Linked DNA regions of Notamacropus eugenii. The protein of the gene in region 3 interacts with the protein of the main gene of each other region in a pairwise test. Links are inferred from orthologs where the notes say so. Each region holds a gene or a part of one and is shown on either strand. Other genes may lie near its edges. The genes, in order: CHIC2, KANSL1, CDR2 and C5H1orf216.

Region 1 (7,844 bases), on a different chromosome or scaffold from region 3:
GTAATTTTAGTTGTCAAGAAGTTGCAATATTAAAGATATGCTGTGATGTGATAGTATTCATTACATATATAATTTGCTATGTTTATTACTTTGGCTGGTGTGCTAGGTAGTTTATTAACAATTAATTGTAGAAAAACATATATTGTAATAGTGCTCCAGGCATGGGGTGTGACAGTTCCCATCCAAGCCCTATACTCTGTAAACTAATAGGTGCCAAAGAAGCCAGAGTATTACATAAGCACATCCAAACAACTAGATAGCCTGCTGATTTATTGAGAAATACTGATTTTTCCTATTAATGACATATCCGAAATCTATTTGGCTAAAAGTAAAAGTCAGCACCCCGTTCACTAGATTACAAAAACTAATAAAAATTGTTTAAAAGTACATTAATCACTAACAGGCACTCATGTAAAAAGCAACTTACAGAGCTAATAAAGATGGCACCTGAATTTCTGATCTGAGAGGACAAGTACTTATATTCATTAACTAAGGGCCTACTGTATGCACTGCGCTTCGTAACGAAACGAATAAAAATACTGTTGCCAGCTGTACGTAACTGTACTTTTCAGAGAAACATTACGAAACTTCCTGCTTCCGGACAGCTCATTATTTGGTTCAAGTATCCACATTCCTTGATTAGTCACAACCTAGAAGACAGGCTTTTTTTTCCCTTAGTGTAGCCTAACGCCTAGATAGACGTTCAACGTTGTTGGCTGGGATTTCATTAAACCTTACAAAGTGAGATTCAAGTATCTCTCAAGAGGAATGGATGGGAGGAGGGAGCCACAGGTACGTATTCTGGAGAATGACAGCAATTTTAACGGTGCTGCATTCCACGTTCGGGTTGATTTTCTTAATTATTTGGAGGCACTCGTGATCTTGTCAGATTTTTAAGCAGCATGCTAATAAAAATCCCGAGCAAGGATTTTAGGATCTGGGGAGGTTTTTCCGAAGAGGAACCTTAGCATACTTCAAGGAACCTAGGCACACCCCTGCGGCCTCGGCTTCCATGAGGGTCTTTACGTCCATTTGCACCCGGCCTGAGCCCCGGGTCAGCGGCACACAAGGAAGACAAGCCAAGGTTAAGGGGAAGAGAGGCCCAGGGGGAGGAAGCGGGGGCAGAGAGGGCCGCTGGCCTCCACACTGGGGTGGAGGGAGCAGGGAGGGGTACGTCAGGAGAAGCCCTCCAAGAGACCGCGGGGCCTGCGGAAAGGGAGAGGAAGGAGAGGGGAGGGAAGGGAGAGACAGACTGAGAGACAGAGACAGAGACCACACGTCCCTGCTCTTCCTGGTCGCCGGCCCAGGCCACAAGGCCCCGGATGGGCGTCGCGGGGAGGGGGCCCCGCCGCTGCCCGCCACCTCCCCGTCCTCTCCCGCACCCTCCTCCGGGCCTTACACGGTGACGTGACCGGAGCCGCGAACCACTACGGGGTCGGGCGAGTACTTCAGCAGCTGCTCCTCCAGGGCCCGCTCCTCGTCCTCCTCCTCCTCGTAGATCTCGTCGAAATCCGCCATGCTGAGGCCTCGCAGGCCCTCCCCCCTCCCCGCCCCGGCCCGAGAGGGGCTGGAGGCCCGGGGCTGGGGCGAGAGAACGGCGGAAGGGTGAGAGGAAAAGTCGCAGCCGCCGGCGCTCGGGGAGGGCCGCTCAGCTCGTTCCGCTCCGTCCCCGGTTCTCCTGGGGGACTACAGGAGGGCAGACGGAGCCCCGGCCGTCACAGCCGCCGCCATTACCGTCGAGCCGTAAAAACACACAATGTCAACATCCGCTCCGCGGCCCACACCTCCACCGGCGCCGCAGCCGCAGCAACTAAGGCAACCACAGCAACAGCGGAGCCACCCGCAGCGGGAGCCGCGGCCTAAGGCATCGCGAGATTTGGCGGACTGGCCGACCCGGGGGACGAGCGAGCGGGGCCGCGTGCGCGTGCGCGTGCGCGCACGCGCGCGCGCGCCGCTCCTCCCGTTCTCGCTCTCCACGTCATCCTTCCCTTTCCTCGGGCGGGCGGCCGGCTCGTTCCTTCTCTCGGGATTCCACCCTCTCTCCTGCTTCCAAGAAGCCCGAACGACTCCTTGGACTCTGCCCTCCTGAGGGGAAGGAGGAGGAAGCGAGCAAAAGGGTGCACCTTGACTTTAGACGTTGGAGGGCGGGGCGGGGAGCCCCCTGGGTCCCCCAAAGCCAGGAGCGAGCAGAAGAACCCGGGGCTGCGTGCGCATCCCGGGGCTCGGATTGCGGGGCTCGTTCCTGATCCTGACGCCGACCGCTGACGTCTCGGACCAAGAGACCTCGTCTACACCGCCGGCTCTCCCATTGGGACAGTCCTGGAAGGTGCCTCCTTGGCAGACGCGGAGGTTCCCCTGGAGGCCCGAGCAGCCTCGCCACGTGCGAGGAGGCGAAGGGCCCCGCAGAGTTTCCCCGCCTCACTTATCCCCACCCATCTGCTGGAGCATCCTCACGTTTGAAGGGTCCACCCCACTCTCCCTTGCCCAGTAGCTCCGCCAAGGAAAAGTGCAAGGTCTAAGTGCAGTTTTAAACTTCCAGAGCTTAACACCGTGTATGAACTCTCCTGACCCATCACTGGTAAAGGTCCAAAAAAAAAAAAATTAACTTTTCAGGAGAAGAGAGTGCAGGACCCGAATCAGGAAGACCTAGTGTCACAAACTGCTTCAGATAATTTACTAGCTGTGTGACTAGCTAGGCAAGCCACTTAACCTGAATGGACCTCAGTTTCTTCAGATGCAAAAAGAAGATGTTGGATTCACTGACTTCCAAGTTCCCCTCTAGTTCTCAATTTATTTTTTTATTTTTTTTTTCAGTTCTCAATTTATGATCCAATAATTCCTTTTTCCCCAAAGCTTCTCTTTCTGACTTCCCTGTTTCTATCCTGTGGCACCACCTTTGATTAATTCTTAGCCATGCTACAAACTCAACTGCCTTTGATTGCTTCCTCTTTTTCCCCTTCTACATTCAATCAGTTGCCAAGTCTTGTGAATTATATATCCATTATATGTATGAAACCATTTATTATGTACCTACTATGTGCCAGGAGATACAAAAAGGAGGCAAAAGATAGTCTATAATGGGGGAGACAACCTGCAAACAACTGTATGGAGAGCAAGTTATATACAGAATCAAGAGGAGATAATAGAAGGAAGGCACTGGGATTAAGAAGTGTTGGCAAAACCTTATAGAGGGTGAGATTTTAGTTGGGACTTCAAAGAAACCAGGGAGGTCAATAGTCAGAATGGAGAAGGGAAAGCATTCCAAGCACTGGGAACAGTCAGAGAAAATGCTCAGATTTGAGAGATGGAGTGTTTTGTTTTTCCAACAGCCAAGAGGTTAGTGTCACTGAATCAGAGTGTATGACAGGGAGCAAAGTGTAAGAAGACTAGAAAGCTAGGGGAAGGCTAGGTTTTAAAGACTTTGAAGGCCTAACGGAGTACTTTGTATTTAATCCAGGAGACAATAGGAAGCCACTGAAGTTTGTTGAGTAGGGGGTGAATATAATGGAACTTTGTGCTTTAGGAAAATCACTTTAGAAGCTGAATAGTGGATGGACTGGAAATGGGAAGAGACTTAGGGTGGACAGAACCACTAAAAAGATATTGGCAGTAATCTAGGTGTGAGTTGATGAGGGTCTGAACTAGATTGGTGGCAGTGTCAAAGAAGAGAGCGTATTTGAGAGATGTTGCAAAGGAGACATAAACAAGCCTTGGCAATAGTTTGGATATTCGGGGTGAGATAGTGAGGGATGAAGGAGGACTCCTAGGTTGTGAGCCTGAGGGACTGGGAGGACGGTGTTGCCTTCTACAGCAATAGGAGAAGGTAGAGAAGAGAGATATGGGGGGTGGGGAATAAGAAGTTCCATTTTGAGTTTAAGATGTCTATTGGACATCCAGTTTGAGATGTCTGAAAGGCAGTTGGAGGTTCAAGACTAGAGGTTAGCAGGGTATTGGCATAGGATTGGTAGATTTGAGAATCATCAGCACAGAGATGATAATGAAATCCATGGGAGCTGATGAGATCACCAGGTGAATGAAATGGCATTAAAGGGAGAAGAGCAGAGAGCCCTGGACAGAACCCTGAGGGACACCTAAGGTTAGAGGGTGTGATCTAGAAGATCAGCAAAGGAGAAGGAGTAATCAGATAGATAGGAGAAGAAGCAGGAGAGAGAAGGGTGTCCCAAAAACCTAGAGAGAACAGATTTGAAGAGAGAGATTGGCAGTATTAAAGGCTACGGAGAGGTCAAGGAGAATGAAGAGTAAGAAAAGGACATTGGATTTAGCGATTAAGAGACTTGGCAACTTCTGAGAGAGCAGTTTTGGTGGAACAACTTGGCAGGAAGTCAGATTGTAAGAGTTTGAGGACCTCTTTTAGATGACCTTTTTGAGGAGTTCAGCTACAAAGAGCAGAAAAGATATGTAGGATGATAGCAGGGAGGGAAGGCTGCATTGAGGGTTTTTTCAAGAAAGAGAAGACATAGGTATATTTGTAAGCAGTAGGAAATGAGCCAATAGAGAGGGAGAGATTGAAAGTAAGTTTTCTTAAGCAGTTTCTCTCATCTCCAGTCTTTTCCAACTCTCTGACAGTCATGATCCTCAGAGCTAAAAGGAACCTCAAAGCATTATCTAGTTCAACCCATACCTGAAGAGATGTCTTCTTCAGCATTCCCAACAAATGGTCACATTCATCTCTGCTCAAATACCTCCAGTGATGGAGTACTCCCTAATTTCCAAGGGAGCTAATTATACTTTGAGATGTTGGGAAGTTTTCCCTTATCAAACCTGTCTCTTTACAACTTCTACCCACTGGTTCTATTTATAACCTCTAGAGTCTTTCAAAATCATTCATCCCTTTGCTGCCAAGTTAATCTTCCTTATACACATATCTCACAATATTCCTTTGCTCAAAACCCTTCAATTGAAGCTAAGGAATGTGCTTTGGAAATCTTGTGTAAGTGTGTGTAATTATTTCCCAATAAAGTCCAAACTTCTTATCTTTAAATTCAGGGATATAACCTGGTGCCTCCTTACCTTCCCAGCTTTATGCTGAGCTATTTTCCACATGTACTCTACATATGAGCTCATATGTAAATCAAATGCTTCCTCCTCCATGAGGCTTTTCCTGATTCTCCTGCTCCTCCACATGGTCACAATGATCTTTTCTATCTTAGACCTCAAATGATACATTTGTACCTTTCTAACTGGTTCATCCAGTTCAACAAACATTTATTTAATGTCCATTCATTCAACCAATATTTATTGCGTACTTACTGTGTAACAGAATACTGTGCTTGCTAAGCTATGTGAGAGATAGAAAGTTTAGTTAAGACACTGTCCCTGTTCCTATAGAGTTCATAACCTGTGAGACAGATCAGGAACAAACACAGATAACTGTAATATACAATGTTATATCATTAGTACATTAGAGAGTTGTGAAACAACGTGTTTTGTGGCGTCCTAGGAGAATTGATGTACCAACACAGATGAAGGAAAATTTGAGGGAAGAAGCACTTGAGTTGGGCTTTAAAGGAGGAATAGAAATTCAACAGACCTAGAGGAGAGGGGAATGACATTCCAGGCATAGGAAAAGCCTGAATAAAGGGGCTGAAGCTGAACACCATGCAGATTTGAGGGGGATGTGCGTTGTCCAGTCTGAAATGAATATAGAGTTCACTGAGGGAGTACTATGAGAAGACTGGAAATATTGGGTGAGGTCAGACAGGCAAAGGAGTGGAAATTCTAATGAATATGGCTATTGAATGGATGCTGATAAATGCCTGAATTAAGGAGGTGGCAATGGAAAGAGAAAGGAGGGGATGGATATGGAATATATGAAGGTAGGAGAGAGGACTCAGTAACATCCTGAATATCTTAGGTGAAGAGAAAGGAAACGTCAAAGATAACTCCATGGTACTCAGAACAGAGTACTGTGCCCAGTCCTGGTACATAAAAATGAAAAAGAAACTCTAATCTGCAATATAATTATTTAAACATGTGTTGCATTTCCTTCATCCAAATAGACTGTAAGCTGTTTGAAGAAGGGATCTTAACTAGTTTAGCCTTGTTACTTCTCTCTATCAAAGCAGGACAGTGCTTTGCAGTTAATAAATTGTTCAGTTGAATTGGATTTAGATAATCCAATCCTTTTATTGTGACTGTAACATGGTAGGCAATCCCGGTTTTAATACTGTAGGGAGTTAGTACAGGACCCCAGCCATTAAGAATAAGAAGTGTTCTATAAGTCACTTATCCTTCCTTCTCCCTGGAATGTAAAATGCCATCCCATTCCTTTTCCCCTTGTAGGGCAAGGAGCTAGCAGTTACCCAGGGGAGATGGTGAGGAGAAAGACAAGAAGTACCTAGTATGTTCTCATGCTAAAGAATTACTTTTCTTGTAGAAATAATATTATAAACAATATTACATTGCAAATCTATCAAATTATGCCAGGACAACCACAAATATTGTGTTTAACCCATTATGTTGAACTATAAGAAGAACTTACCATTTCAGCTATATTATGGATAAATGAAAATTTAAATGGGCAGAGCTAAAAACCTGACTACCATTTGTAGGTCTCTATCTTCAAGGAATTTATAATCAAGTGGGATGGGGATATTACATTCTACAATAACTAGAATACAGGTAACAAAATGAGTTCTCCAGGAGAACCAGTCCCTAATTCATACCCCTCTACCAAGGAATGACTTCCAACATTACTACCAAGTGCCTGGTTCGGAGAGGCATTACCTTCTTTGACTTCATATATTCTAGCTTTCAATCCACATTTATAGCCTACAAAATTAGAATTGTAGAATATCAAATTTCATCTGATTTCTCTCAACAAATCTCTGGCTAAATAGAGAGGTAGTAGCAGAAACAAAGATGTTGGAAATGCCATTATCATAATTATCATCATCATCATCATAGCTAGCATTTGGTTATGTAAGGTTTGTGAAGTGTTTTACAATTATCTCATTTTATGTAAGTCATCTGAAACCATCATGTTTCTCTTTTAAAAAAATCATATCTCACTTTGCAGCAAAATTTGCAAGCAGTAAGTACTGAGTAGTTTCACTATGGAATTCCCTTGTAGTCTTTTCACCCCCTCCAAGCATCTAGTGCCTCTTAAGAGCATCTCAGTGGCTGTGTCTATCTGTGAGTTTGTGGCAGATGTGTCTGCAACCCTGGACTACAAGACTGAGGAAGCACATCCTGTGGAAGCATTCTTTGTGTTCTGCATGGATAAAGATTCTGCTGTTTATAGCTTCCAGGCTCTGGTGGATGTGAAGAGTATAGTTGCAGAAATACAAGAGAATCAGCAGGCCCAGGAGAATTATAAGAATGCCATCTCCCAAGGTCAGCAAGCCTTCCTTCTGGAGCAGGATAGCAGCTCTGGTGACATCTTCAGCTACAATCTAGGAAATCTGCCCCCTGACCAGAAGACTGTTGTCACTCTGAGCTATGTTTAGGAACTGTCCCTGGAGGCAGATGTGGCTGTTCAATTTGTCCTGTCAACCATATTGAATCTACACTATCTCCTGACAGAGTCAGCTGAGGCTGACGTCACCTTTCAAATCCCTTGGGTTCCTGACAAGGAGCTGTCCTACATATTTAGTGTCAGTGCCAATATCTACTCTCCCAATGGCATTAAAAAGATCCAGTCCAACTGTCCTCTGAGTCCTCTGCAGTACTTGGAAGATGACAAGATGGTTACCCAGGTTTCCTTGGCTTAAGGGCATCAGTTTGATCGAGATGTTGAGATTTTGGTTTACTGCAGGAAAGTGAACACACCCAGTGACTCTGTGGAACTGACCCAGGCTGATGCCAAACCAAGTTCCCAGATG
Region 2 (7,478 bases), on a different chromosome or scaffold from region 3:
GCTATTGACTGCTTTTTAGTGTTATTTACATTTTGAAGTCATTGTGACTGCTTAGTAATACTATTTTCTTTTACGTTATTGATATTCTTCTCCTAAGTTATGCTTATATTATTCTCCATCAATTAATGTCATCCCATATTTCTCTGAATTCCTAATATTCAATGTTTCTTATAGCACAATAATATTCCATTACATTCATAAGCTACAATTTATTTGGTCATTGCTCAATTGATTTATTTTGAAATTCTTGCTACCACAAAGAATGCTGAGATGACTATTTTGTTAAATATAGTAACTTTCTCTCATTGTTCTCCATGGCATATAATTGAATTCTAATTACATAAAATGTGAGAAGGAAACTATCATTGGGGTATGTTCTTGTCTTTATCATCAATATGCCATCATCAATAATGATAAAATAATATATAGCAATGAAAATAAATATAAATTAATAATAAATAGCAAATATAATATACCCACACTTTGAAGACCTCTAAATTCATCAGTGTGGGTATTCTCTCTGTTGAACAAACCCTTACTCATAAGCATCTAATCCAACTCATATACTAAAGACATCTCCATAGAAACATATCTGACAAGTGGTGTCATTCAGATGACATGAGATAACACACGTAAAGTGCCTTGCAAACTTTAAAGCTCTACGTAAATGCTAACTATTATCATTCTCTATCATCCACCCTCTACTTGAAGAGCCTTCCTCTCAAAGTAGACTATTTCATATTGGCACAGCTCTAATTGCTTGGAAATTTTTTCCAATATCAAGTCTAAATTGATCTTTTCTACCCATTACTACTGATTTTGCCTCTTGGGGGCTAAATAGAACAATTTAATCCCTTCCACGTAGTAGGGGATAGTTATCATGTCTCCCTCATATCTTTTCATTTTCAGACTAAACAATCTTTATCCTCATATGACAATGTAAGCAAAGACAAGGCAAAAATTCTCTGTATTTGGGAATCTCAGTCAACAAAAAATAATTGAAACAAATAACATCTATACAATATCAGATCATAACTTGCCTATAACTTAGTGGGGGGTCTTTTAGACTACTTGTGGTTGAAAATTTCATCACCTTACAATCAAGTTTGTGATCGTAAAATCATACAACATATAATGTCAGAAGTGGAAGAGACCTAGAGATCGTCTATTCCAAACCCTCTCCTTTCATATATGAGCAACTTTAGCTAGGCTTATTTGTCAACAATAGATATATAGTCTAAAATTGGGACCATACTTGAAACCCAATTCTATAGCTTGGTGTCATATTTTATACTTCACTGGTATCAACTCTTTAAGAACTGAGTCACCATGGTGCTATTTCTAGCTATCAGTCAAAAAGAATTTAAGTACTTGCTGTGTGCTAGGTGCTATGCTAAATGTGGGGGTGGGGGGAAGTGGAAGGGGGAAGTGAAGGATGCAAAGAAAGACAAAAAAAGGTCCCATTTATCAGGATTACATCTATGTCATCCGTCTAAAATCACCACCAGCCTCTGTTCCTCTGAATGGAAGGTGGAGCCATGAATTCTAAAACTTCTCCTTAATAGGAAGGATAACTCAGTACAACTCTTTTGGCATTTCTCTCCTGGCTGCAGGACTTTGGAGGGTCTCTGACTTTTCCACCATAACCCAGGAAGCTCATCAATGGGAAAACTTCATCATCTTGCAAGATCCCATCAGTCTGGCTTCTCTATCTCATCACCACCCATTGTCCCTTTGATTAGAGGGTGGAGCTATGAACTCCTTTTATAAGTTGTTTTCATCTTCTTTTGTATGTTGTATTTCTCATTAGATTGTAAGTTCCTTTTAAAATTTGTATCCCTAACCCTTGAACAGTGCATATGCTTAATAAATATTTATTGATTGACTGAAGTTTCTTCATAGGAGAGGCACTTGTGCAGTCCAGCAATGAGTATTTCCTCTCTGCTCAGCCAAAAATTTATCTCCAGTATTCCAAAAAAACCCCAGCATTTGTGTTCTGTAAAATGACTGGCTTAGAACAAATGATCTCTATTTCCTTCTAGCTCTAAATCCTGTTTCCCATAACTCTAAATTATAACAACCCACTTTGTTAATTATTTTTTAAATGAGACTTATTATAAATACCTTTTATTTTGTATCAGTCATTTTTGTATATGCCCTGACAAAATAAGTTACATTCTGTCCTTGTAGTCACCTGCCTCCCTAGTAAGGAGAAGAAGGCATATGTTATAATCTGTTTCTAATACCAAGAATGGTTATTTTTACTACAGAGTTTCGCATCCTTTTAATGTTTTTATTTACATTTTTGTCATTTTGTATATTGCTCTGCTCTGCTTATTTCATTCTGCATCATTGCATATAGATCTTTCCATTTTTCTTTGAATTCCTTATTTTCATCAATTTTCAAAAACTGTATAATACTATTCCATTACATACAAATTACATTTATGTGGTACTTTGAGATTTTCTATCAACATCTCATCAAGGTACACAGTACAAACATAATTATACTCACAGATGAGAAAGTGGAGGGTCATGATGATCCTTTGACTTGACCATAGCCATATTGCTAGTAAGTATTGGAGTTAGGAGTTCTTTACTTATCTTTTCCATTGACACTTGAAATTGAGTAGGTTAAAAAAAAAGCTTATACAATACCATGACCCTGAAAGGGCTGATCTAGTTCAACCCTTTAACATTGCATTTGAGGAAACAGAGTCACCAGATGTGTGACCTGACCAAGGTCACATGGAGATATCATAGGACTAGGACTGAACTCAGGTCTCCTATCTCCTACTTCAATTCTTTAGGTTCAGAGATGTCCCAAGAAGAAAGTTGCACAACTAATTTGTAGCAAACCAACACAAACCAAATCTCCTCCCTTCTAATTCAATTTTCTGTTTCTTTTACAACTTACTTTTCTGAGTTCCCTGTTTCTTTTCTTACTCCCAAGTCGACTTGGCTTCAATAACAATTCAACCAATATTCCCTGAAATATCAGGCACTGTAAAAATACACCATTTAGGTGTGTTCCCTACCCTAATGGAGCCTACTTTTTAGCAGGTGGATATGGTACATAGACAATTAACCATACTCAAATGGATTTGTACATCCATTTGGGAGTTCCTTCCAGTGATGCTGATCACAGCCTCAGCATGCTTATCTGCCCTGGGCAGCTCTTGTCTATCTGTTCCCAAAAGTTTGCCACAGGGGATCCTCCCAGGAAACAAATGAGGATGGAAAAGGTGGCAAGCATGTAAAAAGTATAATGTGCTATGTAAGGTTGGAGCGGGAATCCTAGGGATGGGGCAATAAGGAAAGGTCTCCTGGTGGAGGTATTTGAACTGAACTTTTAGCCATAGGTAAGATTTCTTTTGGGGGCAGTGAGAGGGCACTCCATGTATAGCGAGCATGAACATAGATGTGGAAGTTGTATTAGAGTTAACTAGTTTAGTTTGTCTGGAGCTTAGGGCATATGGAGTGGAGTAGTATAAGATAAAGCTTCAAAGGTAGGGGGTGGGTGTCAGATTGTGGAGACCCTCAGATACAAAGCTGAGGGTTTTGAATATTATTTCATAGTCAATAGGTGCCATTGGAGAGTTTGGGGTATAGAAATCCCCCCATACCAATGATTCATGTGTGGCGGTGGTATGAAGGATGGATTGGAGGGGGAGGAGGGAGAGAAGGAGGTGCAGGTGGTCATGAGGCCCGGTATTAGTAAGAGGCTGGTGGCAGTCTGAAGATTGAGATGGGAGATACTGCAGAGTCTCAGGGACTTGGCAGGGCGTGGGAGAGGAGGAGCACTTCCCAGTTTTCCTGTCAGTGCCAGTAGCCCCATCATCCTTCCACTTTCTCCTACCTCTCCTTCCTGTATCCTTGCATCTCTGTCTATATCATGTAGGTCTATATAGCCACATTTCTGCTACCTAGCCCTGCAGTGTCATCTCACCACGTCCACAGTGTCCACCCCCCCCTTCTCCTCTCCCCCTCCCCCCACTGATTTATGGCTGAATTGTTGCAACATCCTTTTATAAGGTCTCCCTGCTTTAGTTTCCATCATGTCGCTGCCCGGCTCTAGAACCAAGAGATGGGGGGGGGGGGGGGGGCGTTAGGGTGGGAGGGGGAGACGTGGTGCTGGGGAACGAAGAGGGGGCATGATCAGGGGACCAGACTGGGGATGCTTCTTGGAAGCCCTGCCAGGACCCCTCCATCTCCTTCTTCCCACCTCCGGGCCCCTCCCGGCCTCTCTGAGCAAACATTTCCCGAATGCACGGACAGAGACAGAGACAGAGACTCCGAGAGACAGAGAGAACCAGAGAACCCGGGCACCAGCATCACTCGCCCCCCCTTCCGCCACGCCCCGCCACCCTGACGGACGCTCGGGCGCAGCCAATGAAGCTCCGGCCCTGACCTCGGTAGGCCAATGAGAGACGGAGGAGGGCGGACAACTCCCCGCCCCCCACTTCTAGGCTAGGTTGAGCCGTGCAGGTAGGTCCGGGGCCGGGGGAGCCGCCGTTGGCGCTGGTGCCCGTGGCGGAGCGGGGGGTCTGGGGGCCCGCGAGATGAAGGGGCAGCCGTCGAGGGAGGGGAGGGGGGTCCGGGGAGCCGGGCGGGCGGGGGAAGCCGGGGGGTGGGCGGCCGCAGGGGCGCGGGCCTGGGAAGCGGGTTGGGCTGGGGGGGAGAGGGGACGCGTGTGTATGTGTGCGTGCGTGTGTGAGTGCGTGTGAGTGCGTGTTGCACACCCGCCGCCCCACTCCCCCTGCAGCCGCCCCCGAGCCCAGGCCCCCGCGGCCGCCGGCCCGGCCCCAGGGATGGCGGGGGGGAGCGGCGAAGGAGCCCTGGGCGCCAGGCCGAGCCCAGGCGAGCGCGGGGCCCGAAGCCGGGCTGCGGGGGGCCCGGAAAACCGAGGCCAACGGCCGTAGCCCCCTCCCCCCCGCCCAGGGCCTCCCGGGGTCCTCCCGCAACAATGGGCTTCGTAGTGGGGAGGAACCGACAGAGGGCTGGAAGAAGGTGGAGGTGAGGTGTGGGACCAGGGACCACCTGGAAGAGGGGAGGGGAGAGCAGGGCTGGAGTGGGCATGGCCCCCCCTCCCCCCCAGCCCCATCCCCAGGCCTCTGGATGGGGATGCTGATGGGGGAGGAGGAGGCCTGGACGCGAGCTGGCCCCCGACCCACCTCCTCCACTCAGTGCCATGAACTGTAAGGAAATGAGCCCAAGCCATGGGAAGTGATGCCAAGTTCAGGAGCTGGTGTGATGACGAAGGCATGGCCAGAAGAACTCTACCCCCACAGTCAATTTGTGTGTGTGGAAACCTTTAATTTTCTTATTTTTCCACATGAAGGAAAAAAATTTAAGTAGTGGGTGCTATTCTGTTTTGTTTTGAGGGGCTCACCAACTCCTGTAAGCTCTTAGCCTCCTATTGGAATTTCCCTTGGGCTCAGGGACCCCGGACTTGAGGGAACCTTGTGGTCATTTCATGCCACCAGGCAAAATCAAACCCATTGCAGACACTGGACTGACTACAGCTGGGTTTTGGAAAAGTATCTAGAAGAGTAATTACCTTTCACTTAAACATTCTCAGATTAGAAAAGATGTAGGTTTGTTTTGGAAATAGAATCGATCCTGGAACTTCATTTTTTATCAACTAAGTAAAGGGTACTGTTTAAAAGGATCAAAAGATGTTTATTGTTATTGAGGTACTAAGTCCCTTTCTAGTTAGTTTGGTGATTTTACTCAGACTGTTTAGAAATATTAAGGGCATATCTACAATTCAAAAATATAAACAGCCGATTTTTCAAATACTTGGAGTACATAGGGCCTAAGAGTATTGTGACTGTCTTTATACATAAAAACTCTGTTTCTAAATTATGAACTTTAAGTCCTCTACCAGATAATGAATTCTGATTCATCACTTGCCCCCTTCCCCTTCTCTCTGTATATGCTTGGGCTAGAAAGGAATTGTAGAGACCATTTAGCTAGCCCAGAGATTCTTAATCTATTTTTGTCATGGACCCATTTGGCAGTCTGTTACTCTTTCTTAGAATAATTTTTTAAAATATTAGTGATTTAGGGAAATGCTAAATTTCAGTTAGAGGTTAGTGAGAATAAAAACATTTTTTCCCCATCAGAGTTCATATATACTTCTCATATCTATCCATGTATGCCTTGGTGGTTTGTAGATCCCAGGTTAAAATTCCTGAGATAACCAACTCTCTTCAGTTGATAGATGAGAAAACAGGCCCAGGGAAGTTAAGTGACTTTATTGGCCAGGGTCACAAGTAGAAGTTTTAAAAAGTCAAAATTTGAATTCAGGATTTTCAAATTCTAAATCCAGAATTGTTTTCATCACATATATCCTCATTTGTACAAATATAAACATATATAATGTATATACATATGTACACAGGGGGCTTGCAGAGTATTAGTACTTTAACAAATTGATGAGATGAATGGCTGTTTGAGGAAATAAGAAATTTAACTGATTTAATTTTTAAAAATTATTGGGTTTGCAGATAATGTTGATTTGTATTTAATTTAAAAATCTTCTGTTTCAGCTATCCTTTTTGAAAAGTAAAGATTTTTACAAGTGCTGGTCCTCGTTAGATCCAGAGGAGTTACCAAGATTTTCTTTTTACTTCTTAATCTTGTGTGCATTATTCTGGACACTATGAATGCTACTTGGATGCCCGTTAAGGTAAAGGTCTTTTTTCTTAGTTTGTGTGCTTTTGGCATTTATGTTCTTTTGAATTAGAGAATGACCTAATACGTTTTAATCTTGGTATTTTCTGTTTGCTTATTAATATTAGGTAGTTCATTTTCTTCCTAGAAGAGAGCACCATTTATTGTTAGTTGCATTGTCCCTTGTCAAGGATGTTAAAAATATTTATTCAGTTTTGGAACCATTTTCCATTATTCTGTGTTCAGTTCTTTCATTTAAATCATAAGAAGCTACATAGTCAGGTTTTGCTTTTTAAATGTGGTAGAATGGATTAGAAAATTTAAAAATTAGTTCTACCTTTAAACTTAATGACCAAGTTGTTACATCATATGTACAAGTGTTCATACTACTGTTGAAAATCAGTAGCTTAGAGACCTCAAAAGAGTCATGGACCACTTGTTTTTTCAGTAATTTTCTACAGTATGTTAAAATTCTGTTGCCATTTTGGTCTTTGGAGAAATAACCTTGTTAGAGAGTTGAGTATGGCTTGGCTGAGGAATGGTCATTATGGATGTCCTTCTTCCTTTGTCCTTTACAAAAGCTTTCATGCCCCAACGCTGTACAGATGGAATCCTGTGCCAAGTCACATGTCATTGGTTTAACTCCATCCCAACAATGGAGATAAAAGTCTGGTGATAAAGCTGCCATCAGCGTGCCTGACCCTCACTTTGATATAAAGAAACAAACTGATATATGTATGCTGGCTCTCAGTAGGGAGGCTATCAATCTCTTTTTTTTCTCAATGCCTACCAGAAGGGCT
Region 3 (7,081 bases):
AATGTGCTAAATATCAACACATATAACCCATATAAACAAAAGCTCTTGGGATCCGCAATAATTTTTAACAGCAGAAAGGAGTCCTCACTAGTTTTTAAAAGTATAATTTTTCTGTTGTTCAGTTGTTCTAGTCGTATCTGATTCTTCGTGACCCTATTTGGGGTTTTCTTGGCAAAGATGCTGGAGTGGTTTGCCATTTCCTTCTCCAGCTCATTTTACAGATGAGGAACAGAGGAAAACAGAATTAAATGACCTGCCTAGGGTCAGAGAGCTACTAAGTATCAGAGGTCAGATCTGAATTCATGAAGCTTCCTGATTGCAAGTCCAGTGCTCCATCTTTTGCACCACCTAGTTGTCTCTTTTAAAAGTATAAAAGGATCCTCAATAATTTTTAAGAGTGTAAAGGAGTGCTAAGACCAAAAGGTTTGAGAACCACAGATATAGAAGATGAACTTAAGTCTTGGATACCTTAGTGCTCCTTCAATTTCCATAAACCATAATTAACAAATTATAAATCCAGTCATCTCTGCTCCAAAGATAGTGGTATCTATTTTTAAATTTAAAGCGCCTTTTTTATTTTTGGCCACGGTTTGTTTCCGCCTGAATACTGCCAACTAAGGTAAGTGTGCAGCAGAGAGATCCTTTACCAACACAATAAAAACTGGAAGATCAGTAAATTTTTTCTTTCATAAATGTCAGGGCCTGGAGGCAGGAGATTTGCTATTCTTTTTTTAAAATAGAAATTTATGTTTCTAATAAATATGGGAAGAAAAATGTACTAGAGTTAGTCTGATAAATATTTACTACTGGTGGAGCTTATCATATCCAGAATTTGCTTATTCCTTCTGGATCTCTGAAGACCTGGAGGAATTTCTGAATTAGCTTAGCCATACATGAGGTTTAACAGTAAAATTTCAGTCAATAATTGTCCTGCTCAGTACCACTGAAAAGTAACCTACTGTCAGTGCCAAAATCAGGCCCTGGGAACACTGGTTATCAGTAATGGTTATCAGCACCTTCATCAGACCTTTTTTGCTACAGAGGAGCGGGAAGATGTGATACATATCAGCAAATTTTTATTTTAGCTGCTCTGCTCTGGTAAAAATTTAAGAGGGAGGCATGTGGTAGCTAAAATAAATTTGCGGATTTCAATTATCCCCATGATTCCTAACATTCCAGTGTTATCATCAGTTTCCAAACTTCTAGCAGAGGTTCAAATGTATTAACTGGAAAACACCTGATCTCAACTTTAGGGCCAAATGAAAACTACCTGATAAGATTGGAGGGGTGGGGATGGGACAATTCTTTAGGAATCTACAGTAATGGTAATGCTAACTGGGAGCTATTATTGTGTGTGCTATGTCACATTAAAATCTTTACATATACCCAGGTATGACTAGTATCATAGGATTTAGGCTACGAGAAATCTGCTTTAATCAGTTACTTTTATCTCCCTACATCTGTATTACAGTTCACTGGCAACAGCCTATTTAATGACCAATATAAGCCTGGCTTTGCTACTTAACTGTAAGGTTGAGTAAGAAACTATCTCTTGAGCCCTTGGTTTTCTTTTTTGTATAGTGGGGAAGCAGAGGGGTATTGAACTTCAGAGGTCCTTAACCTGGGGTCCATGAATTTGCTTCTTTAATATTTGATAACTGTATTTCAATATCAAGAAGACCTGAGTTCAAATCCAGCCTCAGACACTTAACAGCTGTGTGACCCTGGACAAGTCACTTAACCTTGTTTGCCTCAATTTCCTCATCTATAAAATAGGCTGGAAAATAACAAACCATTCTAGTATCTTTGCCAAGAAAATCTCCCAAGTAGAGTCATAAAGAGTTGGACACAAACTGAACTGCAACAATTTCAGTATAATCGGTTTCCTTGGTAATCCTATTTAATTTTATGTATTTAAAAACATTATTCTGAGAAGGGTTCCAGAGGCTTCATTACTATCAAAGAGGGGGCAAAAATTAAAAAAAAAAGTTAGGAACTCCTGGATTAGATGATCTCTAAGGTCTCTTTTTTTAATTAATTAATTTGTTTTCAGTTTTCTACAATCACTTCCATATATTTTAGATTTTTTCCCCCTCCCTCTTCCCTCCCTCCCGGAGATGGCGTGCAATCTTATATAAGTTCTACACATACATTCTTATTAAATACACTTTCATCTAAGGTCTCTTTAAACCAGGGTTGGGGAACCTTCAGTCTCGGGGCCTCATGCGGCCTTCTAGGTCCTCCAATTCATCCCTTTGACTGAATCCAAACTTCACAGTACAAATCCCCTTAATAAAAGGATTTGTTCTGTAAAACTTGGACCCAGTCAAAAGGCTGCACCCAAGGACCTAGAAGGCTACATGTGTGCACGTTTCTCACCCCTGCTTTAAACTATAAATCCTATGGGTGAGTTGGAATGGTTCTAAATGGTTTTCTAAATTTAGAGAATCCAGTGGGCCACTCAGGGTAAGACCTAGTAAAAATCATTAAGTAGAAAAAGTTCTTTACTCAATGGAAGCTTTTCTCCTTTAGCTAAGGTGCTTTTATATTACTATCAAAATCCTCTCAGAAAACAGTCTAAAACATAAACAGATTAAAGTGTGAATAACCAATAATAGCTTAAAATTTAATGTACCTAGGAGCATCTTCATTTTTCCTTAAATGAAGTTTTAATAGTAAAACTTTTAGGTGCAACAGTCCCTATTCAGGGGAACAGACTTTTTTCCAGCACCATTAATAACTGCTTATTCCTAAAGCAGGCGAAGATGCTGTAATACAGGTTACATAGACCCTTAATAGCATCCTTAACATTTGATCATGACCAGCTTACTCCTGGCTGGCTGAGGATGGATGGGATGAGCGGAGTGGCTTCTGCCAGATCCTCAAGTCTAAGAGTCAGCAGGGGAAGTGGAGTGGCTTTGTGAAAAGAGTGAGGGGTTGGGGTTACCTGTATGGCCATGGACAAATCACAGTAACTTCTCCTGGCCTCTTTTTCTTTTCCCCTCAGTTTCCTAATGTGTAAAATGAGGTCCCTTCCAGCTCTGTACTCTAAAGATCTGGGTTTTGACAAGAGAACTGCGATTCAGTAGCATCTCCACCTGTCAAATCCATAGGAGCAGGTGAGCCCCGCTCTCCCCAAGGTGCCCCAGGTGACTCCTTAGCTCCTCCCCTCCCTCCACTTACACTGCACACCATCTGTCAGTCAACAAGTCATCCCTCCCCCAACCCTCTGTGCTCCACACACCGCACTTCATCCTCATAGGAATCTTCTACCTACAGGTGGAAGGGCCCTCAGAAGACATCCAGTGGAGCCTCCTCCCTTGACAGCTGAGGAAACTGAGGCCCGGGGGGAAGTGACTTGTCCAAGGTCACACAGGTGATTTCAGGCACCGGATGAGAACCTGCGCCCTTGATCTAGATCCTCCACATCCGACCAACCCACCGGCTTATGCTGCGCCCCCCTCCCCTCCTCCGACTCCCCTTCCTCACCCCAGCCTCGTACAATGACGGTCCCGCTGGTCCACCTACCCCAAGCCCGTCACTGGTTACACGGCGGGATCTGAACCCAGGTCCTCGGACTCCAGAGCCGGGGCTCCGCGCCTCGCCCCGCCGGGCCTGACCTCACGCCCCTCATCCTCCTCTCATCCTCAGCCCAAGGTGACGTCAGTGCGCCCCAGGGGACAGCCTCCCCGTGCGTCACCGCACCCCCCACTCTCCCACCCTCCGCCGCCCGGGGCCCCGCCCTCCCGGCCTCGGCCTACGCTCAGCACCGGCCTCGGTCACTACATACGTACCTCTTTCTCCTCCTTCGTTTCCTCCGCCGCCGCGCAGACTCGCTCCCGGACTGGTGCGGGGTGTGCCCCAGAGAGCGAAGCCCGGTGGGGAGACGTGGACTGCGCGTGCGCCTCTCTCCCCGTGAGCGGGCGCGGGGCGTGGTTGGACTAGCTTTTCAGCGCCTCTTTACTCTTTCTCCGCCTCCTTGGTTTTCTTCAGGGTCTCTATTGGTCGGTTCCCCGGGAGCCAAGACGAATCGGATCTGCCCAGAGGGCGTGATTGGCGAGAGCGCCCGCCCCTCGTCAGGGCGGCGGCCTGGGATTGGTGGGAGCGCGGCCTGGGTTTTGAATCGCTCCCTGGTTGGGGAGGGCGACTTTTGCAAAGTGCCACGTTTGGGGCCGCGGGCCGGGGAGAGCCGGCTCCGGGCTGCCGCGGGGGCACGGCACGGGGCTGGACGTTGTCCCTCGGCCGGGAATCCTAGCAGTGCCGGAGCCCGCTGGTGGTCAGAGCTCCGCGGCGGTGTGGGCGTCGGCAAAGACCCGGGCTGCGGCCGGGGCGGCGGCGGGACCGAGGCTGCCTCTGTGATACCCCGCCGCGATGTTGGCGGAAAACCTGGTGGAGGAGTTTGAGATGAAGGAGGACGAGCCGTGGTACGATCAGCAGGACCTGCATCAAGGTGAGCGGGCAGCCCCCACCCCCAGGTCCTCCGGGCGCTCGGGGGCAAGCCTTACCCCGCTCTGTAATTGCGAGGCGGATTGGAGGGTGAGGAGCCTTGGGTGGGACTGGGGAAGAAGGGTGGTGGTGGGACTGGAGAAGAAGGGTGGTGGTGGGACTGGAGAAGAAAGGAGGTGGTGGGACCTGGGAAGAAAGGAGGTGGTGGGACCTGGGAAGAAAGGAGGTGGTGGGACCTAGGAAAAAAGGAGGTGGTGGGACCAAGGGAAAAGGAGATGGGGGGACCAAAGGAAGAAAGGAGGTGGTGGGACCTAGGAAAAAAGGGGGGTGGAACAAGGGTAAAGGAGGTGGTGGGACCTGGGAAGAAAGGAGGTGGTGGGACCAAGGAAGAAAGGAGGTGGTAGGACCAAGGGAAAAGGAGATGGGGGGACCAAAGGAAGAAAGGAGGTGGTGGGACCTGGGAAGAAAGGAGGTGGTGGGACCTAGGAAAAAAGGGGGGTGGAACAAGGGTAAAGGAGGTGGTGGGACCAAAGGAAGAAAAGTGGTGGTGGGACCTGGGAAGAAAGGAGGTGGTGGGACCAAAGGAAGAAAGGAGGTGGTGGGACCAAAGGAAGAAAGGAGGTGGTGGGACCTGGGAAAAAGGGAGGTGGTTGGGACCTGGGGAAAAAGGAGGTGGTGGGACCTGGGGAAAAGGGAGGTGGTGGGACCTGGGAAAAAGGGAGGTGGTGGGACCTGGGGAAAAGGGAGGTGGTGGGACCTGGGAAAAAGGGAGGTGATGGGACCTGGGGAAAAAGGAGGGAAAGGAGGTGATGGGACCAAAGGAAGAAAGGAGGTGGTGGAACCAAGGAAGAAAGGAGGTGGTGGGACCTGGGAAAAAGGGAGGTGATGGGACCAAGAAAGAAAGGAGGTGGTGGGACCAAGGAAGAAAGGAGGTGGTGGGACCTGGGAAAAAAGGAGGTGGTGGGACCAAGAAAGAAAGGAGGTGGTGGGACCAAGAAAGAAAGGAGGTGGTGGGACCTGGTAAAAAAGGAGGTGGTGGGACCTGGTAAAAAAGGAGGTGGTGGGACCAAGAAAGAAAGGAGGTGGTGGGACCAAGAAAGAAAGGAGGTGGTGGGACCAAGAGAGAAAGGAGGTGGTGGTGTTGGAGAAGGAAAGAGGTGGGAGGGAGGGAGAAGCCCATCCCTGAGCAGGTGTCCTGCCTGGCTTCTTCTCGGCCAGTGTGCCAGCCCTGAGATGATTCTCCCTTTCCCGCCCCTCCCCTTTTCTGCGGTATAGACTAGGTCTGTGGCTACGGGCTGGGATGCTGCTGCTCCAGCTTCTCGATTGTGCACTGCCCTCTTGGTTATCTTGCTGAGTCCAGGTGAACTGGGGTGAGCGGGGATGGGGATGATCGGAGTGAAAAAGGGAGGTTGCCGAGACTTATCGGTCCCGTCACTTGGTTGCTGCTGCTTCGCTTGCGTTAAACAATTAAACGTCGTTTGTGCATAATTTACCCTTGCCGAATTGTAACGCCTGAGTACGTACCACCCTACCTATTGCTTGTCCTCCGAAAGCTCCTTTGCACCCCAGTACCAGTGCTTGCTTGAGGTGGATTTCTCAATTGGCTTTAATTCATCCCAAAATAAACACTTTCTGATCTGCTTACACATCGGGTTCACTGGCTCATTTTTAGCATATTGAACAGATCCCAGGGATTCTTGCACGCTTGAACTACGTAGCCTTTCCACATTTTAAGCAAGTCTTTGTTTAAACTATGAACAATGCCCACATTTAGGTTAACTTTAAGCAGGTATCTTGATTTTTATTTGTAGAAGTGAGTACAAAATTTAATGAGGGTTTGAAACCAACAAAACCCTTTTCCACGCCCACAACATTCTCCAAAGATCTAAGTCAATTTCACCTATCTAGTCTTTATAGTCAGTAATTTTTATGAAATAGAATATACAGTGGCAGTGTGGCATAGTGAGTGGGTAGAAAACAGCCAGCCTCAGAGTCAGGAAGATGTGGGTTTAGGACTTGGTCAGAAATATACTGGTTTTTAGACCTTAAGCAAGTCATTTAACCTCTTAATGTCCCAAGTAACTCTCTAAGACTAAGTTGTAGAGCAGGTGCCTGTTCTTTATGATAAAGGGAGTTGCTTACATCAATGAAATCATAGGTCTGATTTTTTTTAAAAGTATAGATCACTTTTAACATTGCTGTGAGTAGGCACATTTTACAGCTTAAAGGGCTGAGAATTAATTTGCCCTTTAAATTCCAAATGAGATTAATGAAAGGCATTAGAACACTAAGCTTCCTCTTCAAGGAATATGTGCTTAATGACTTGTAGCCTTTTTAGAGTTAGAGAAAACAGTATGTATCTGTTCTTTAGGATAGTTTTTTCCAAACTAATTTGCCTTCAAAAATCATATGACCAAAGTAGTCAAGCCTTACATTGTCTATGTAATCCAAACTAGTTGACTATTGTAAAATAGTATTTTCTATAGTTACCCAAGTTTACTGTTTTAATACAGCACTGAGTTTATATTGCAGGTTTCCCTCTATGTATTAGGCCATTTATTACTCAGATATGTTCTTTAGAATTAATGAAGTATCCACATATAATGGAGATAGGAGAGTAATCTGAAAGGAAAGC
Region 4 (6,873 bases), on a different chromosome or scaffold from region 3:
TAATTGGGGGAATAAGATACATATATTTAAAAAAAGAAATGGTGAGCTGGTTGATTTTAGAAAAAAAAAAACATGGAAAGACTTATATGAAATAATGAAGTGCACAGAACCAAGAGATTATATACGGTAACAGCAATATTGCTTGAAGAATAATTGTGAACAATTAAGTTACTGAGTACTATAAATACTCAGATTAGCTATAAAGGATCTATGAAAAAAGATGGCATCCACCTCCAGTGAAAGAACTGATAAACAGAGGGAAGCATAGTATGGAAATCTGTGTCAAATGGTGGCATTCTCTAGTGCAGGATGCGGAGGAAGATAATTTGGAACTTAAAATGTGAAGGGGGAGGGGGAGGAGGAGGAGGAGAAGAAGAAGAAGAGGAGGAGGAGAAGAAGAAGAGGAGGAGGAGGAGAAGGAAGAGGAGGAGAAGGAGAAGAAGGAGAATGAGAAGAAAAGAAAGAAGAGGAGGAGGAGAAGGAGAAGGAGAGGGAGGGAGGGAAGAAGGGAAGGAAGGACAGAAGAAAGGGAGGAAAATGGAGTTGTCCAGAAGTAGAAAAGCTGCCTGCCTGAGGGAGGGGTAGTTCCTCTCTCTTTGAAGGTCTTCAGACACTTCCCAGAGATCATTTGGCCCATAAGTTAAATGGCGAATTCCTTTTGTGTATGGGTTGGACTATCTGGCTACAGGCATTCCCTACCAACCTTCTGATTTTGTGATTCTATGACTGTATGTTCACAACTGCCAAAATGATATTCCTTTAGTACAGGACTGCTCATCACTCTCCTGTTCAAGAATTTGCAGTGTCTCCCATCTTCCTCTAGGATAAAATACAAATTCCTTTGTTTCTCAAATTCTTCACAATCTGGCTCTGACTGATCTTTCCAGACCTATTGCACATTCTTCTTCTTCATTCACTCTAAGTTCCAGTAGAATACTTGCTTTTCCCTGAACACATTTCCTCTCCTGTCCCCATATCTTTGCACAAGCTGTCTCTCAGTCCTGGAATGCTCTTGTTCCTCACTGCTGCTTCTTGAAATTCCCAGATCCCTTCAAGGTTCAATTCAAGAGCTACCTTGTTTAGAAGGCATTTCTGGATACCTCCAGTTTCTACTCCTCCCCCAACCCTGTGTCCTTTTTAATAATGCATTCTATATTTTCTTCTTGATGAATATATTTTGTATACTATGTATCCTTGATTTACTTATCAGTACACATTTTTATATCTTGACTTATTGGTGTGCATTTTTGACAAATATTTCTTCTTATTGGTGTGCATGAGTCCCTCTTCTCTGCTCCCACCTCCTACCCTCAAAGCCTTTGATGCCAAAACCTATCTCATTTTTGTATTTGCATTTCCAGAGTTTGGCACAATGCCTAGCACATAATATGTGCTTAATAAATACTTGTTAGTTGATTGACAGATTGACTGATTATCAGATAGATTGGGACACTGAGGTATTGAGCAGAAAGGCCCTGAATAGCTGAGTTGACTCCTCCTGGCTTCCACATTAGGAGGTCCTTTCTATCCCTGTCTTCTGTTGCTATGGTGCCCATTATACCTAGCTCTGTCTGTCCTCTCTCTCCTCTGCTCTGATCAGCCATTACCCTCCCTGTGAATACTTTCAATGGGCAGAGATTAGAACAAATGTATTTGTCCAAGTGTAGGCTTGAACTCACAGAGAAGGTGTCATCATCAACTATATACATTTTGTGTATTGGCAAACCAAGGCTTACAGAAGATAAGAAATTATCCTGCCAGGCAGCCTAACAAGGCGGGGGCAGTGATCAGAGGACGACAGGGGGAAGGATAAAGAAAGGCGAATGGTCATCACAAGGTGTAGGGAGGGAGGATGGGATAAAATATTGTTTATGGAGCTGTGTTTTAATGGTCTTCAAATCACCAGGTATGGTGGCTATGAGGTATATGTACGTACAGTATGCATTTGGGGCTGCGTATATGTATATGTACGTACAGTATGCATTTGGGGCTGCATATATGTATATGTACGTACAGTATGCATTTGGGGCTGCGTATATGTATATGTACGTACAGTATGCATTTGGGGCTGTATATATGTATATGTATGTACAGTATGCATTTGGGGTTGCGTATATGTATATGTACGTCGCGTATATGTGGTTTATGCATGCCCATGCATGCAGGTTGTGTACATGTGTGTGTTGCATATTATATGTATACATACATTTTTCTGTATGTACCTGGGTAGTGTAGCTGTGTGCCCATGTATGTACAGCGTAAAGCATGTGTAATATGTATGTATGGTACCTGTGTGCAGGTTCAACTGATGAGAGATATGGAAATGAGTGCTAATCAGTCATTTGGTATTCACTAAGGACAAAAACTAGCCTGGCAGGACTGGCAATTCCTTAGGCCCTGCCCCCAGAGGGTCTCTGGCACACAGGTCCACCTCCAAGACCTTGCGCAGAAGCCAGGCCCAGAGTGGTGGAGGATCCTGAGGCTGGTAGGGAGGGGAGAGAATTGTGAGGAGAGCAGGGCTCTAGGGTCAGTCAGCGCCCTCACATACACCCCATCCTTGTGGAGTACAGGCAAAGCCGGAGCATCCTTAACCCCATCCTCATTTTCCTGTTCCCCTCTTCTTCCCCATGGGCCTCCCGCAAGCCCCGCCTCCACTCCCCATTCCCAGCCACTGCTCTGGCGGGGGTGGGGGATGCTGCAGGAGACGCTCCTCCTTCCTCTTCACCCTTACCCACCCCCCCACCCCCACTCCCCACCCACAGCCCTGGGAGGCCAGAGATGAGTCTCTCCCCTAACATGGGCCACTGCGGTGTCCCCCCCGCGCCCTTTATAGAGCCCCAGCCCCCGGAGTTTCTCCCCTCAAAACAAAACGACCACCCTGCCCACAGCCCAGACTCACAGCCCAGAGGTGCCCAGGCCCACCCGACTCGGGCTTCAGCTCCTCTCCGGCTCCAGCCGCAGGAAAGCGTCACTGAGTCACTGGCCTGGCAAGGAGTGCGGAAAAGGGAGGGGCGGAGCCCCGGCTGCAGCGGAGGCTGCACACACACACACACACACACACACACACACACACACACACACACTCCCAGACACACAGGAAAACGCAGAGACACACACTCGGGAATACATACAGGCACACTCAGAGGCACACACTCAGGCACACGCAGGCACAGATTTGGGCAAGACAGGCACGCACAAATTCAGGCACACTAAGACACAAACATACGCACAGAACACACTTGCTGGGAGAGGTAGGGGACATGAGAGGGGAAGTAAAGCCATCCTCCCACAAAGGAAAGATTCTTGGGAGAAGGATACAGACAGCAAAAAATCCTTTTTTTTTTGCCAAGCAAGGAGAGGTTCACACACACACACACACACACACACACACACATATCTGTATACTCCTATGTACAGACCCATGAATAAATTCTTTTCTGTGTTTTAGGAGCATAATACTGAAAGCTTCTGTGCGGAGCAGATGATCTGTAAGCACCCTTCCACTTCTAGAAACGCTATGACCTTTACAGTGGAAATGACAGAATGATGTATGCTGGCAATTCAGGCAAGTACACTTAACATGTACTCATGTCTGTGTACTCATTTGCAGATATGTCCAGGAACAAGCTTACATGTGTAGGTATGCCTGTACATGTACTCCATGTAAGTAGGTATGTAAATGTTCTTGTGCAGGTTCTCATTCTCTCTAATTTATTTTTTGTCAATTTACCATGGAAGTTGTTCCATACCTTCTCTTTTCTCCTTATGTCACATAGTACCCTCTCCTCCCATCTTCTCAGCAGAGCGCCTTACCTCGTACCTTACCTGAAAAAATTGAGGCCATTACTTAGAGCTCTCTTTTCTTTCTCTTTTCATCCCATATTTTCATCCTTTACTATCTCCTTTAGTCCATTCACTGAAATAGTCCTCCCCATTGCCAAGGCTAACCCCTCTGTAACCTCTTGATTCCATCCCATCTCTCCCATTTTTTTCCTTCACATTGCCTCTACTATCATCCCTTCTCTTTCATGATTGATCTCTTCCTATGTCCTAGTTCCTTTCCTATTTCCTACAAACATTCAAATCCTCCCCCATCCTTAAAAAACGACAACCCCACCATCCCTGAAACTATTGTCCTGTATCTTTAATCTCTATATCTTTAATCTTTAAACTCTTCGAAAATAATGCATATACATGGAACTACCGTTCTCCTTTCATTCTACTTTTTATGTTAATTTTTATTTTACTTCTTTTCAATTAGTAAATATTTATTCTCTCTCCCTTCTGCCTTCTCCCTCCCCACCCTTAAAGAAAAAGAAAACCCTTGTAACAAATACCGATAATGAAGCAAAACAAATTCCTGCATTGGCCGTGTCCAAAAACACATGTCTCATTCTGCATCTTGAGTCCATCGTCTCCCAGGAGTTGGGTAGCTTGATTCATAATAAGTCCTTTGGAATTGTAAGTGGTCATTGAGTTTCTCAGAATTCTTAAGACTTTCAAAGCTAATTGTTTTTACAATTTTTAAATTATAGACATTGTTCTCCTATTTCTGCACCAGTTCATACAAGTCTTCCCAGGTTTCTCCGAAATCCTCTTTCTTTATTTCTTGCAAAATAATATTCCATTGCATCCAGATACCATAATTTGTTTTTCCATTCCCTAAATGACGAGCACCCACTTAGTTTCTAATTCTTTGCCACTACAAAAAAAGAGCTTCTATAAATAGTTCTGTATGTATGAGTCCTTTTCCTCTTTCTGAGGAGGAGTATAGTTGGGTCAAAGGCTATGCACAGTTCAATGATGTTTTGAACATAATTCCATATTACTTTTCAGAATCAATCAACACTGAAATCCATGCTCGAGCTGAACTGCCAAGCATTCAGACTATGCTTCAGAGAACACAACTCCGATGGTCTGGCCACGTCGTTCAAATGCAAAATGTATGCTTGCCAAAAAAGGCTAGTTTATGGAGAACTCACATGGGGCAAGTGATCACATGGTGGTCAGAAGAAGAGATGCAAGGACACTCTCAAGGTCTCTCTCAATAACTTTGGACTTGATTGTGCGACATGGGAGACACTGACACGGGACTGCTCAGCATGATGTGCCCACATCAGAAAGGGTGCTGTGATGTATGAGCAAAGCAGAATTGAGATAGCACAAAGTAAACATAGGATGCACAAATTTGGAGTATCCATCCCAAATACTCACATGGACTATCTATATTCAATCTGGAGCAGAACATTCTGAGCTCATATTGGTCTGATCAGCCACAGGCAGACACACTGAAACTTCACTTTATCATGGTGATGTCATTTTGGTCCTCTTCGAAAGCAACAGAGAACAACCAATTGTTGCTCTTTTACCCAGGAACCCTGAGGGTCTTCTCCTCCCAGTTTGATTTTTTTTTTTAATTAAAGGGGCCATCCCTTGAACATGTGCTTAAAGAAGTCTATTCATTGAATGAGTGTATCTCACTCAAAGTGAGAATGCTATAAGACCTTAGTCTGAAAGGGCCAGGGTCTCCCATTGCATCCTGGATCATCTCCAACTGTCCTGATGAATATCAGGTAACTGGATCCAGATGGCATGGGAGAAGAAAGTGAGGTTGGTGACCTTGCACAGCCCTCCCTCACTCAAATCAAAGTCAACTGCAAATCATATCATTATCTTGATGTCATGGTCCTCTTTGAGAGTGAAGGACGAACACACATTTTTTTCCCCCAAAGCCTCTGCAAACCTCATCATTCAATTGAAATCTATTTCTACAAAGTAATTTCTTCTTCTTCTCCTCCACTCCTCCTCCTCCTCCTCCTCATCTTCCTCCTCCTCCTCCTCCTCATCTTCCTCCTCCTCTTCCTTCTCTTTTTGGTGAGACAATCAGGGTTTAATGACTTGCCCACAGTCACACAGCTAGTAAGTATCGGAAGCTGAATTTGAACTCAGGTCCTCCTGACTTCAGGGCCAGGATACACTGAGTTGCCTACCTGCCCTATGACCACTTCTTAATGACCAAATCTAATGATATCTTCTCATTATTCCTCCTCCTTAACCTATCTACATTTTACACTGTCAACCACTCATTCTCTAGGTTACTTTCTGAGTTTTCATGCTATTGCTCTTTTCTGGTTCTCCTCCTACTAGTGTGATCTGTCCTCAGTCTCCTTTGCTGGCATGACATCTATATCACAGCCCTTTAAGTATGGGTGGACCTCAAGGTTCTGTTCCCAGTCCTCTTCTTTATATTCTTTTTTTGGAGATGTCATCAGTGCCCATGGGTTCAATGATCATGTCTTTGTTCATGAATCCAAGATCAATATACCCAGCCCAAGCCTCTTTCTTGAATTTCAGCCTTTCGTCATCAACTGCCCATTGGACATGTAGAAATGAATATTCTTGGGGTATCTCAGACTCAGCATGTGCAAAAACGAATTCGTATTTCCTCCTAAATTCTCTCCTCTACCAAACTTGTGGTAGAATTGTGAACTGATCCAACCATTTTGGAGAGCAATCTGGAATTATGCCTAAAGAGATAAAACGGCATAATCTTTGACCCAGCAATGCTACTATTAAATGGTCTGTTTCCAAAGATGATTAGGGGAAAAGAAGAAGAACCTGTATGTTCTAAAATATTTATAGCAACTCTTTGTGGTGGCTAAGACCCGGATATTGTGGGGATGCCCATCAACTGGGGAATTGCTGAACAAGTTGTGATATATGATGGTGATGGAATATTACTGTTCTATAAGAAATAATAACTTCAATAATCTTAGAAAAACATGGATAGACTTGCATGAAATAATGAAGAGTGAAATAAGTAGAATCAAAAGAATGGTGTATACGGTTACAACAATATTATTTTAAGAACAA

The links.
Region 1: the proteins of CDR2 (region 3) and CHIC2 interact in binary tests that used the Homo sapiens proteins (3 or more experiments, as listed by UniProt). The link is inferred for Notamacropus eugenii from reciprocal best matches to the Homo sapiens genes CDR2 and CHIC2.
Region 2: the proteins of CDR2 (region 3) and KANSL1 interact in binary tests that used the Homo sapiens proteins (3 or more experiments, as listed by UniProt). The two-hybrid records come from large-scale screens. The link is inferred for Notamacropus eugenii from reciprocal best matches to the Homo sapiens genes CDR2 and KANSL1.
Region 4: the proteins of CDR2 (region 3) and C5H1orf216 interact in binary tests that used the Homo sapiens proteins (3 or more experiments, as listed by UniProt). The two-hybrid records come from large-scale screens. The link is inferred for Notamacropus eugenii from reciprocal best matches to the Homo sapiens genes CDR2 and C1orf216.

What each region holds. Positions count from the first base shown.
Region 1 is NC_092877.1:105,529,076-105,536,919, forward strand, and holds the start of CHIC2 (cysteine-rich hydrophobic domain-containing protein 2), read right to left. Parts: upstream 3,014-7,844; 5' UTR 1,519-3,013; coding exon 1,400-1,518; intron 1-1,399.
Region 2 is NC_092873.1:346,576,042-346,583,519, forward strand, and holds the start of KANSL1 (KAT8 regulatory NSL complex subunit 1), read left to right. Parts: upstream 1-4,464; 5' UTR 4,465-4,488; intron 4,489-4,653; exon of another isoform or gene 4,654-5,016; intron 5,017-5,065; exon of another isoform or gene 5,066-5,300; intron 5,301-6,554; 5' UTR 6,555-6,694; intron 6,695-7,478. UniProt on the Homo sapiens protein: Non-catalytic component of the NSL histone acetyltransferase complex, a multiprotein complex that mediates histone H4 acetylation at 'Lys-5'- and 'Lys-8' (H4K5ac and H4K8ac) at transcription start sites and promotes transcription initiation.
Region 3 is NC_092874.1:396,564,628-396,571,708, forward strand, and holds the start of CDR2 (cerebellar degeneration-related protein 2), read left to right. Parts: upstream 1-4,078; 5' UTR 4,079-4,371; coding exon 4,372-4,450; intron 4,451-7,081.
Region 4 is NC_092876.1:83,994,392-84,001,264, forward strand, and holds the start of C5H1orf216 (UPF0500 protein C1orf216 homolog), read right to left. Parts: upstream 3,008-6,873; 5' UTR 2,900-3,007; intron 1-2,899.